Linked DNA regions of Cricetulus griseus. The protein of the gene in region 1 purifies or fractionates together with the protein of each later gene. This does not show direct contact. Links are inferred from orthologs where the notes say so. Each region holds a gene or a part of one and is shown in the gene's direction. Other genes may lie near its edges.

The links.
Region 2: the proteins of Eif3l (region 1) and Znf746 purify together in Homo sapiens (affinity purification with mass spectrometry; 3 studies listed by BioGRID and IntAct, counting the BioPlex papers as one, with this or other methods). This does not show direct contact. The link is inferred for Cricetulus griseus from reciprocal best matches to the Homo sapiens genes EIF3L and ZNF746.
Region 3: the proteins of Eif3l (region 1) and Eif3b purify together in Homo sapiens (affinity purification with mass spectrometry; 8 studies listed by BioGRID and IntAct, counting the BioPlex papers as one, with this or other methods). This does not show direct contact. The link is inferred for Cricetulus griseus from reciprocal best matches to the Homo sapiens genes EIF3L and EIF3B.

What each region holds. Positions count from the first base shown.
Region 1 is NC_048595.1:376,208,080-376,211,677, forward strand, and holds the end of Eif3l (eukaryotic translation initiation factor 3 subunit L), read left to right. Parts: intron 1-1,863; coding exon 1,864-1,944; intron 1,945-2,770; coding exon 2,771-2,809; 3' UTR 2,810-2,976; downstream 2,977-3,598. UniProt on the Homo sapiens protein: Component of the eukaryotic translation initiation factor 3 (eIF-3) complex, which is required for several steps in the initiation of protein synthesis.
Region 2 is NC_048601.1:99,134,080-99,138,213, forward strand, and holds the start of Znf746 (zinc finger protein 746), read left to right. Parts: upstream 1-1,318; 5' UTR 1,319-1,594; coding exon 1,595-1,618; intron 1,619-1,726; exon of another isoform or gene 1,727-2,323; intron 2,324-4,134.
Region 3 is NC_048597.1:77,055,055-77,058,701, forward strand, and holds part of Eif3b (eukaryotic translation initiation factor 3 subunit B), read left to right. Parts: intron 1-1,890; coding exon 1,891-2,083; intron 2,084-3,647.

The sequences.
Region 1 (3,598 bases):
AAGCAGAATATTGTATGCATAATAAATAAATAAAATCTTTAAAAAAAAAAAAAAAGCTGGGCAGTGGTGGCGCACGCCTTTAGTCCCAGCCCTTGGGAGGCAGAGGCAGGCAGATCTCTGTGAGTTTGAGACTAGCCTGGTCTACAAGAGCTGGTTCCAGGACAGCCTCCAAAGCCACAGAGAAACCCTGCCTCAAAAAACAAAAAAAAATCTTAAAAAATAAAAAAATAGGGTAATGTGGAGACTAGTAAAAGAAGACATTCTAAGGCTGGGCGTTGGTGGCGCACGCCTTTAATCCCAGGATTCAGGAGGCAGGGGCAGGTGGATCTCTGTGAGTTCGAGACTAGCCTGGTCTCCAGAGCGAGTGCCGGGATAGGCTCCAAAGCTACACAAAGAAACCCTGTCTTGAAAAACAAAAACAAAAAAAAAGAGAAGACATTCTATATTAGCCTCTGGTCCCTATGCACAGCCGTACACATCTACACCAACATATGCCTGCAAAACCCGCCCCCCCAACTACACACACACACACACACACACACACACACACGCACGCACGCACGCACGCACGCACACACACACACACGCACACACACACACACCTCTTCTGTTCTGAATTCATTCTCAGTTTGTGACATGTGCACTTTTTTATTTATTTGTTTCTATGTGCATTGTTTTTTTTGCCATGAGTGTTGGGTCCCTTGAAACTAGAGTTCTGCTGGGAGTTGAACCTGGGTCTTCTGGAAGAGCAATCAGTGCTCTTAACTACTGAGCCATCTCTCCAGCCCGATGTGCACTTTCTTTGATAGTACCGTTAACCTACCCACTTTGTCATCTTCTAGTGACGTAGCAACTAGTCCCAGTGCAGATGGTTTAATAAAATGCTTCTCCCAATTTGGTCATTAAAATTTTTTTTTTTTTTTTTTTTTTTGCTTTTCAAGGCAGGGTTTCTCTGTGTAGCTTTGGAGCCTGTCCTCGCACTCGCTCTGTAGACCCGGCTGGCCTCGAACTCACAGAGATCTGCCTGCCTCTGCGTCCCGAGTGCTGGGATTAAAGGTGCACACCACCAACGCCCAGCTCAAATTTTATTTTATGTTTTGTTATTTGTGTGTGGAATCTGTGTGCTGGTGTGCATGTGGAGGTCAGAGGACAACTTTTGGGGGTTGGTTCTCGCCTCCCATCTTGGTGAGACAGGGTCTGTCTTGTTTTGCTGTGCTGGAAGCTCATGTCTCCACCTCCCATCCCAAGTAGGAATACTGGGATTACAGGTAATCACCATCACTGAACCATCTCTGTAGCCCACAAGTCACATTTTGCTGAAACTTGTATTCAGATTAAGTCAATGCCACATCCATACTTTAAAAGGCTCTGCCATTTTGACTTTGGTGGTTTAGGGAGTGTTGAGGGCAGGGTAGTCGTCACTGTGTAGCTCAGGGGTGGTCCTGTTTTCATCAGCCTCTCAAGTGTTAGGATTACATGTATGTGCCTGTGTGTTCGTGCTTTTGTTTCTCAATAACAGGTATTGGTCTGCTTCCCCCAAACTTTGCTCATGAAAATTAGTGTTAGGAGCCTGAGTGTGGTAGCCCAGGGTCAATGGGAGACTGAGAAGGATGGCACCTTCAAAGTAAAAAATCAAGAGGATGGGCGGGGACATAGCAAAATACTAGAGCATTTTTGTCATCCCACCCCCACCCCTGTCCCCCAAGTACCGGGAGCTCTGTGGGGGTTATTAACACTTGGCACCATTGTACTTTGCAGTTAAGTGGCTCCACGCTAGGTGGCCCTCTTCTTCATCACTACCCTACACCTCCCCACCCCACCCCCCCTTCCCACCACTTCTGTTCTGACTGCTTTCTCCCATAGGACATGATCCATATTGCAGACACCAAGGTTGCCAGACGCTATGGGGATTTCTTTATCCGGCAGATCCACAAATTTGAAGAGGTAAGACCTTTGAGAGAATGGCTGACAAACCTGAGGATAGAGATGAGGCTTTGAAATTTTTCTCATGCTTCTTTTTAAGAAAATGTGTGATTGGCCCTTTAACTTTCTAAGCTCGCCTGGCTGGCAGCTTGGAGAGTGGATTGGGTTCAGGAGTTGCTGTGTCAGCCCTTTCTAGGGTATCTCTTTCCAAGATCTTGGTCTGCGGGTGGCCCTGCAAAGGGTGCTGCTCTCCTCACCCTTCCTGGTATTTCCTAATATGGGTAGATTTGCTGCTGAGTCCCTCCTTCCCTGGTTCCCAGTTGGGGCGTTCTCCAGCTCAGACAGGTCTGGCCAGTGTCTGCATGCTGGAGGACTGGAAACTGTGTTTGACAGACCTGGTGCTCTTACCCTAAGAAATGTCTTGTATGTCAGGCCGAAGAGCACAAGGTTATGGGGCTCCCTCGTTTATCTCTGAGCCACTTTTTCTTAGTACCCGAAGTCCTCCGACAGAGGACATGCTCCTTCAGGATTGTGACAGTGTGGCACTGTTTTTACTATTTAGCTGTCTAAGCCTTACCCATTGGGGACTGTTCTATCAGGGAGAGGCTGAAGTGCAACTGGTCTAGCCACCCTGAACCCTTGTCCTGTCTGTGAAATGGGCAGGGCAATGTAGGCTGTGCATTTGTCAAGTGAAGGCAAGAGAAAGGCTATGGCCACAGAGGATCTATGGCCACCTGGCTTTCTGTGGCCCTCCCTGGCCTGCAGGAGTCAGGCTTCCTGAATGTGCACACTTTTAGGATAGGTCCCAAAGATCCTACATCTAACTTAGTTTTACTTTCCCTTGTAGCTTAATCGAACCCTAAAGAAGATGGGACAGAGGCCCTGAAGACACTCATGCAGGAGTGAAGAACCTGTTTTGATATTGTAGATGGGAAGCATTCTTGTCATCAAGAAGCCTTACCTAAGTCAGCCATCAGCTGAGTTGAAACTTGTTCAAATCAAGGACTGGATGTTTTAGGGAGCTCTCAGTAAAGGGTCTTTGTTGGAGCTGGATTTGTGGTCTCATTATTAATGGGCAGATCTGTAGCTTTGGCAGCAGTCTACTGTGTCCTGTGTACTATGCTTCCCTGGTGCATCAGTGTTAAAGCTGAGTTCTCTAATCCCTGTGTTCATGACATACTGTGTGCTTCATAGGACGTTTGCATGTTCTGTGTCTGTTTAAATGATATTTAAATGAACTGCCATAATTTGCATAGCATGTTAGTGGCAGTGCTGAGCCCTGGGAAGAAACTGTGGGACATTTCTTACTGCCAGGAGTTGTGCAGATGGGTCTCAGACATGCTTAACACTTGCAGCTCAGACTTATGCGGTGTCCTATTTCTTTGTTGAGAAAGTGAATCCTGGGGTAATTGAGTAACTTGATTGAGGTCATACAAGTTATAAACAAGCCAGTCTTTAAAATAATTATGACTGCCTTCTGTCCAGTTTAGTACCTGCTGCCAGACAGCTGAGCCTGCTCTGCAGATCTATTGTAAGTATGGTGATGGGGTTGTTTGAGACAAGGCTGTGTACTCCAGGATGCCCTCAAACATAATCCTCATGTCTCAGTTTCCCTACTAGGATTATAGATATGGGGCTTGGGGGACGGTTATAAAGCTTTATTTTATGTGTATGG
Region 2 (4,134 bases), on another chromosome or scaffold:
GATGAAATCATTCCACATTACACTCTCTCTCTCTCTCTCTCCCCGTGTGTGTGCACGCACATATGTGTGTGTGTGTGTGTGTGTGTGTGTGTGTGTGTGTATAAAATCAATATCTTTTGGTGCGTATATGGTGTCCAGGTACACCACAGGAGGGGGTCGGATATACGGAAACTGGACTTATTTAGAGACGGTTGTGAGCTACCATGTGGGTGCTGGGAACCAAATCCCAACCCTCTACAAGAACAGCAAGTGCCTCCAGCTCCATTCAAAACATTTTAAACGATAGCATTTTATTCCATTTTTCACGTCATTAAAATGTTTATTATAGAGATTGGCGCCTACCTTGGTTACCTAGAGCCTAGAGCCTTCATGCAGTAGCTGTTCGAAGCAGAAGCAGGCACCCACAGCTAAGCACTGAACCATACTCCTGGAATCCAGTTGTGGAGAGGGAGGAGGGATGAGCAAAGGAGCCAAGACGGTGCTGGAGATACCCGCAGAAACAGTTGACCTGCCGAAGTGAGAGCACAGAGACCCTAGTCGTAAATCTGGGGAAACAGCATTGGACCCAACCAAGCCCTCTGAATGTGGGTGCCAGCTGGGAGGCCAAGACAGTCTATGGGACCTCTCACAGTGGAGCCAGTGTTTATCCCTAGAGCACAAATGGACTTTGGGAGCCCACTCCCTATGGAGGGATACTGTTGCAGCCCAGATACAGCAAGGAGGGCCTGGGCCCTCCCCCAAATGATATAACAGACTTTTAAGGTCCCCCGTGGAAGGAAGGCCTCACTATGCCTCGGGTGGAGGTGGGGGGTGGGTTAGGGGGTTGGTGGGGAACGTGGGAGGATGGGAGGGCGAGGGAATGGGGGGGATGGATACGTAAACATGAGTAGTAGTTTATTATAATACATATTATAGAATATCCTACACGATGCCTCCTGTGACTTATCAAGCCATTTTTCTGTTATTGGAGGTATTAATTCCCCTTCAAGGCGAAGATAGGCGTGCTGCTGTTGCAGAAGTGTCCGAGCCAGGGGTGCTCATTGCCCGCCGAAGCCCTGGGCCCAAGTTTTAGACCGCCGAACCGGGTGGCCGCCGCCGAGTTGACAGTTCTGGCAGGCAGTCTCTCCAGTCGCACGGCTAGCGCCACGGGACCGCAAGGGGCGGGCGGGGCGACGCTCGGGGGGCGGGCCGGGAGGCTGGGCCGGGGCGGGGCCTCGTGAGGAGGGCGGGGCCGGGCCGGCGGCAGCAGCGGCGGGCGGGCAGGCGGGCGGGCGGGTGCCGGCGCTGCCGTTCGCGCGCTCGAGCTGCAGTGGAGCTGTGCCGCCGCGCTGCCTCCAGGAAGCCTCACGGGCCTTCGTCTGCCTGGCCGCGGCGCCGGCTCCCAGGATGCAGTGTGGAGCGGCCGGGCGCTGACGGTGGCGGTGCGGCTGCGGCTGCGGCTGCGGGCGGGCGGGCGAGCGGCGGGAGGCCAGCCTGCGAGGAGCGCGGCGGGGAAGGAGCGGCGCTGCCGCGGAGAGGACCCGGCGGCCGGGCCTGCGTGGGGCCGCGCGCCGCGGCGTCGACTTCCTCCGCGCCGGGCAGGACAGCGCAGGCCATGGCCGAGGCGGCCGCGGCTCCGGTAAGGGCGGCCCGCGCGCTTGGCCGCGCGGCCTCGGGCCCGGAAGCCGGGGCCCAGCACGCAGCGCCGCAGGCCCCAGGAGGGCTTCCGGGCCTGCGGTCCTGGGGCTGCGGCGAGCGGCCGCGAGGTCCGCCGGGGCCTACCGCACCGGGTGGAGCCGGGCGCCGGGAACCGCCGTCCGCGCCCCGGAGGCCGACCCGCGCCAAGTTCCCGGTCCGCGCGTCCCCGGGCCGGGCTCCTTCCTCAGCGCCCGGGCTGGTGCTTCCCTCCCCCAGCTCCCCCAGCGGCCTGGCGGCACCTGGGAGGTGTCCGTCGTCGATTCCGCAGACACTGAGCACCCACTATGTGCCCAGCCCTCCCCAGGCGGCGCGCGAGGGCTGCTCTCGTTTGTCCAGCCCCGCTGGCGCTGTACACAGCCCGGTGTAGGAATGATTCGGTCCGCACTGCAAGCCCGTGGGGTAGTTGCTGTTATAGTTATTATCTGGTAGAAAAGAAAAGCAGGCGGCCCGGCGAAGTTAACTCGCCGAGGATCTGTCTCGGCGAGAAAGTGTGGGAAGACAGTGCTCACAGTTCAGTGGCTGTGATAAGGAAAGCAGACAGGTACACGAGTAGCCATATGGTCGAACAGAAAGGTTGTGGCAACCTGGTGGAAACGGAAATTCGAATGCAGGTGCTTAGCCGACCGTGTTTCTCCTGCCTGGCCAGGTATTCTGTGCTTTTGTGAGTTGAGTTAACGAGGGTTTCATAGGACGTGGGCAGAGACAGGGCAGTACAGGGCCGGTCCACGAGCCTGGAGAGATGGTGTCTTCGGTTATGAGGCGCAGAGTTGGAAGGGGCTGGAAGGCCCTTCGTCATGTGGGTGGGAAACAGTGGAGGGATTTGGCATCGTCTTAGCTAGACCATCCTCTTGAGCTCCGAGTTTTGGCATCGATGCCTGTTTCACAGGTGTCTGTTCCACCTTCCCTTTGACTTCAGCAGAGCACAACCGCTACACAGTTCGGAGGCCATGGGCCCCATAAGAATGGTTCAAAAAAATGACCCATTGTTCAGATGTTAAACAAGGATAACATCACTGAGGTAGATGTTCATGCACATGCCCTTTTGTGTAACACAGAGATTGCGGCAGGGGGAACCGTGGCAAAGTACAAGGGTATGGCTGAAACAGACAGGGCTGGCCTTAAAGAGGAGGAAGAGGCCAGAAGTATCATCCCACAACAATTTTTCCCTTTGAACAGTTCTGTCCTCAGTCTGACACAGTGACCCTCCTTCTATACAGCCTGAGAAACTGAGCACTATCCAGACCAGCTTTTCTGCTTCTGGTCAAGCTCTCTTGGCCCCATTTTCTGATGTGTCTTCCCACATTCTGGTTCTCAGCAACTCAAATGAGTCCACATTAGTTCCTAGAAGTCACTTTTATTTTGCAAGTAGTCATCCACCTTTTTTTGTTTCTGTATTCTTCTAAAATGTATGGAACATCTGTCTTCAGACACTGACCAGAAGTGGCACCCATTCGGGGTCTCTAATTGGTCCTGTGAGTTGCACCTCCAATGTACAAGGAGGAATTCTTCCCACTCCCGCCCAAAATGAGCTCTTCATGTCGATTGGGAAGTCACTTAAGCCTCTGCCATTTCCAGTGACAGGAACATATCAGTCTTGTGATTGTTGGCACATGTAAAAGTATGACTGTCTACCTTCGTCACTAGATGAAGTAGTCGCTGATCTCAGGACAACTTATGTCTGAGACTGAATTGTACCTTGCAGGGAGTTCACGAGGTGTAATGCCAGGCATAGTAACACACTTGTCACTCCAGGACTTGGGGTAATGAAGGCAAGGGTTCAAGGCCATCCTATGCCACCTGGCAGGTTCTAGGTCAGCCTGGGACATGTGAGACTTTATCACAAAAACAAACAAAATAACTCTTTGATTGGTTAAAATTGGCAGAAATAGTAATTTTAGCTCACAGGGGAGGGCAGTTAGGAAGGGACCAAATCAGATTGTCCTAGAGGAAAGGGAATTGCCATTTATGTGTTAAGAGGGGGCATGAGATGTTTTTTTAAACACACTTAAGCAACACCCTTCTTTGTGCCTCTCAGTTGAAGCAGCTGGAGTTTTTGCTGGGTCATCATCAGGCAGTTCCTGTACGATTGTGACTGGAGTGCAGGCTGGGCCCTAGTAAATCTGCAGTTTATCGTTTCTCCACTAAAACACCCCAGCAATGCTAAGTCACTGTTTATTTTGCAAAATTGCACTGTGTGTTTACCATGTGTTTAACACTGTGCTGTGAAAAGACACACTGTCCTCCAGAGGAGATATTCAGTGTAGGCACATACAGAAGATGACTGAATAGGGTTAGGGTAGAAAGTACCAAGGGAGGAATCTGCACAGTATGCTGCAGGATCCCGAGCAAGGTACCTGCCAGCCTCAGGCCAGAGCTTTATACCAAAGAGGCTGTCGCTACAGCAAGGTGTGGTGCATAATAGAGGATGTCCCTACTTCCCACATACATGGGCTCCCC
Region 3 (3,647 bases), on another chromosome or scaffold:
ACTTTTAATACCAGCGCTTAGGAGGAGTTAGGCAGGAGGACAAGGTCAGCCTGGTCTACAGAGCACATTCCAGGCCTGCCACGGACAGGGACACACAGAGAAACACATATTGTCTCAGAAAACAAAACAAAAAAACCCCAAGAAGTCATGAGGTGAGTTGGTACTGTGCTGCACATTTGTATAGCAGTCAGGATAGCATTGAGGAGTTGGTTTCCTCCTTCCACAATGGAGGAAACTCAAATTGTCAGGCTTTTACAACAGTGCTCTCTATATACTGAGCCTTCCTGCTGGCCCAGAGTTTCCTTTTATTTTTAATCATATATGTTATTTATAATTTATTTTTTAGGTTATTTTGTATGTAGGTATGCCTGCATTCATGTGTATGCACCACGTGTGTGAGTATTGTTTAGAAGAGAGCATCAGATTCCTTGGAACTGGAGTTATAGATGGCTGTGAGCCCCCATGTGGGTGCTGGCATTGAGCTTTAATCTTCTGAAAGAGCAACAAGTGCTCTAAAATGGCAGAGCCATCTCTCCAGTTCTATTTTTCCTTACTCTTATTTTTTGTTGTAGATGTTTTGCCTCCATGTATGCTTGTACCACATACATGCATTGTCTTTGGAGGCCAGAAGGGGGCAGTAGGTTCCCTGAAGGGTTGCAGATGGTTCTGGGGGTGCTAGGAGCTGAACTCTGGTTCTCTGGGAAAGTAACACGTGTTTTTATAACTGCTGAGCCATCTCTCCACCCCCACATATATTTTCTTTTTGGTCTTTTTGAGACGGACTCTCACTATGAAGCCTATGAAAGTCTCACTATGGCTGTTCTGGAACTCACCATTCTGGCCTCAAACTCAGATCTGTCAACCTTTGGCTCCTGAGTACTGGGTTTAAAGGTGTGGATTACCATGCCAGGTCAGACTTCTGTATCTGGATCTTGTATAGATCTGGGTGACCTCAAAAAATGGCTGTCTTTCTGCCCCAGTTTCTCAGGTGCTGGGAGCACTCTTACATCTAGCTCAGCTTTCTCTTGTGTACATGTGTTTTTTGTGTGCAAGTATGTGTGGAGACCAAGGTTTATGGCAGGTATGTTCTTTACACCCCACTCTCCATTTTAATATAGGGTCTCTAATTGAACCCGGAGCTACTGTTACATATAGACTGTTTCTTCAGCAAGCCTCTGAGATCCTTTTACCTCTGCCCTTACAGCCTTGGGGTTATAGATGCATGCTTCTACACCTGACTCTTGAGACAGACTCTCTCGTGTAACCTCGGCTGTCCTACTAATTCCCATGTATACCAAGCTGGCCTTGAATTCACAGAGATCTGCCTACCTCTTGAGTCCTGGGACTGAACGCATGAACCACCATGCCCACCTTACACTTGGTTTTTCTGTGGGTGCTGGCCATCTGAAATCAGTTCCTCATGCTTGTGGGCAGCAGGGCACTTTCCCCACTGACCCTCCATCCCAGCACTACTTTAGTATGTTGGAAGTTGCTTTTTTTCTTAAAAATATATTCATTCATTCATTTATTTTGTTTTTTCGAGACAGGGTTTCTTTGTGTAGCTTTTGGAGCCTGTCCTGGAACTTCTGTATACCAGGCTGGTCTTGAACTCAGAGATCCACCTGCTTCTGCCTTCACTTCCAGAGTGATGGTATTAAAGGCATTCACCCAGCAGTTACAACTGGGTACATTTTGACAATACTGCCCATCAAAAGGAGTGTGGGGATTAGCCTTTTTGATTCTTTGTTGTTTAAGTTAGGTCATGATTTCTTTGTTCATGATGAAAGCCCTTAGAGTAGATGCCTCTTAGACATAATCAGCCTGCTAGCTAAGAGGTGAGAGCTAGTTGGCTTCAATAGAAACCACTTGACATTTCTTTTACTCCTTCAGAATTACTTGGTGATATACTCAAGGATCGGCCTCAGGAAGCAGATGGGATCGACTCAGTGATTGTTGTAGACAACGTTCCTCAGGTGGGACCGGATCGGCTTGAGAAGCTCAAAAATGTCATCCACAAGATCTTCTCCAAGTTTGGAAAAATCATAAATGACTATTACCCTGAAGAGGATGGAAAGACTAAAGGGTGAGAGTGCCAGTTGCTGAAGCAACAGTTGTGGGCTTGGGAATTTGTTTTCAGGCCACCCCAGAGGGAAGCTCTCTCGGTGGAATCCTCAGCAGGGCCCTGAAATCATGGTGTAGTGAGTGACTGCAGACTGAGATCTCCAGCTGATGCCCACGGGAGCAGCAGGTGACCTAGGATAGGTTCTGGATAAAGATACCACTGTCTTGAGAGTGCGCACAGCCCAAGGGGAAGCCTGCCTGTGGGATTTCTCTCAGAAGTACTTGTTAAAACATTTAAACTTATCTGAAGTGAAGGCAAAAGCCTTGTATCACTACTTAGTTATTGACTTCCTTCCTACTGTTACCTAAAATCATGGGTGTAGCCTGAGGTTTTGTGACTTGCTGTTTGCTTTTTCTCTTCAAAATTAGGTCTTTCCTGTTGATTCTGGTCCTCTTTTATGTCTGGTGCCCAGGGCTCAGCTTCAAGTACTGTGATTGATGCTCTGGTGTCAATGGACAATGACTGTGGGAGGTCTGCTTAGATTTTGTTGTGCAGGCCTGAGGCTCCTGTCTCCTAGGGTGGAGGCTCTTAAGCAGTGGGACTGGCTGCCCTCAGTTGACTGGACAGGGCAGAATGGTCCAATTTATAAATTGAGAATGCTGCTCAATTTATAGGGGGTCGTTTGCCTCTTGCCACTATTGACAGACCTCCTTTAAATGCCCCCTTGTCTGAGGGGAGTATAGGGTGATAAGGGCACCTTTTAGAATTAAAGTCTTAATGGTTTTTGGTGGTGGTGGTGGGATTTCAACACAGGGTTTCTCTTTGTAACTTTGGAGCCTATCCTGGCACTTGCTCTGGAGACCAGGCTGGCCTTGAACTCACAGAGATCCACCTGCCTCTGCCTCCCGAGTGCTGGGATTAAAGGCATGCGCCACCAACGCCCAGCCTCTTAGTGTTTTTTTATTATTATTACTATTATTATTATTATTTTAGTTTTTCAAGACAGGGTTTCTCTGTGGCTTGGAAGCTGTCCTGGAACTAGCTCTTGTAGACCAGGCTGGTCTCAAACTCACAGAGATCCACCTGCCTCTGCCTCCCGAGTGCTGGGATTAAAGGCATGTGCCACCACCGCTCGGCTGTCTTAGTGTTTTTAAAACTATCTACAAAGTTAGTTATTTTTGGAAGAATCATTGGTTCTAGGCAATGTTATTGCGTTTTATGGTTTTTGTTTTATTTTTGAAGATTATATTTTTATAGATTATATTTATTTTTATTTTATGCTCATTGGTATTTTGCCTGCATGTATGTCTGTGTGAAGGTTTCATATCCCTTGGAACTGGAATTACAGACAGTTGTGAACCACCATGTGGATGGGTGCTGAGCTGACTGCAAGAGCAGTTGGGAATTGAACCTGGGTCCTCTGGAAGAGTAATCGGCGCTCTTAACCACTCAGCCATCCCTCTAGCCTCCCCCCTTCAATTTTATTTTATGTATGTGAATGTTTTGCTTGCATGTATGAATGTGCACCACATGTGTACTTAGTCTTCTCAGAAGCCAGAGAGAGTGATCATTTGATCCCTGGAAC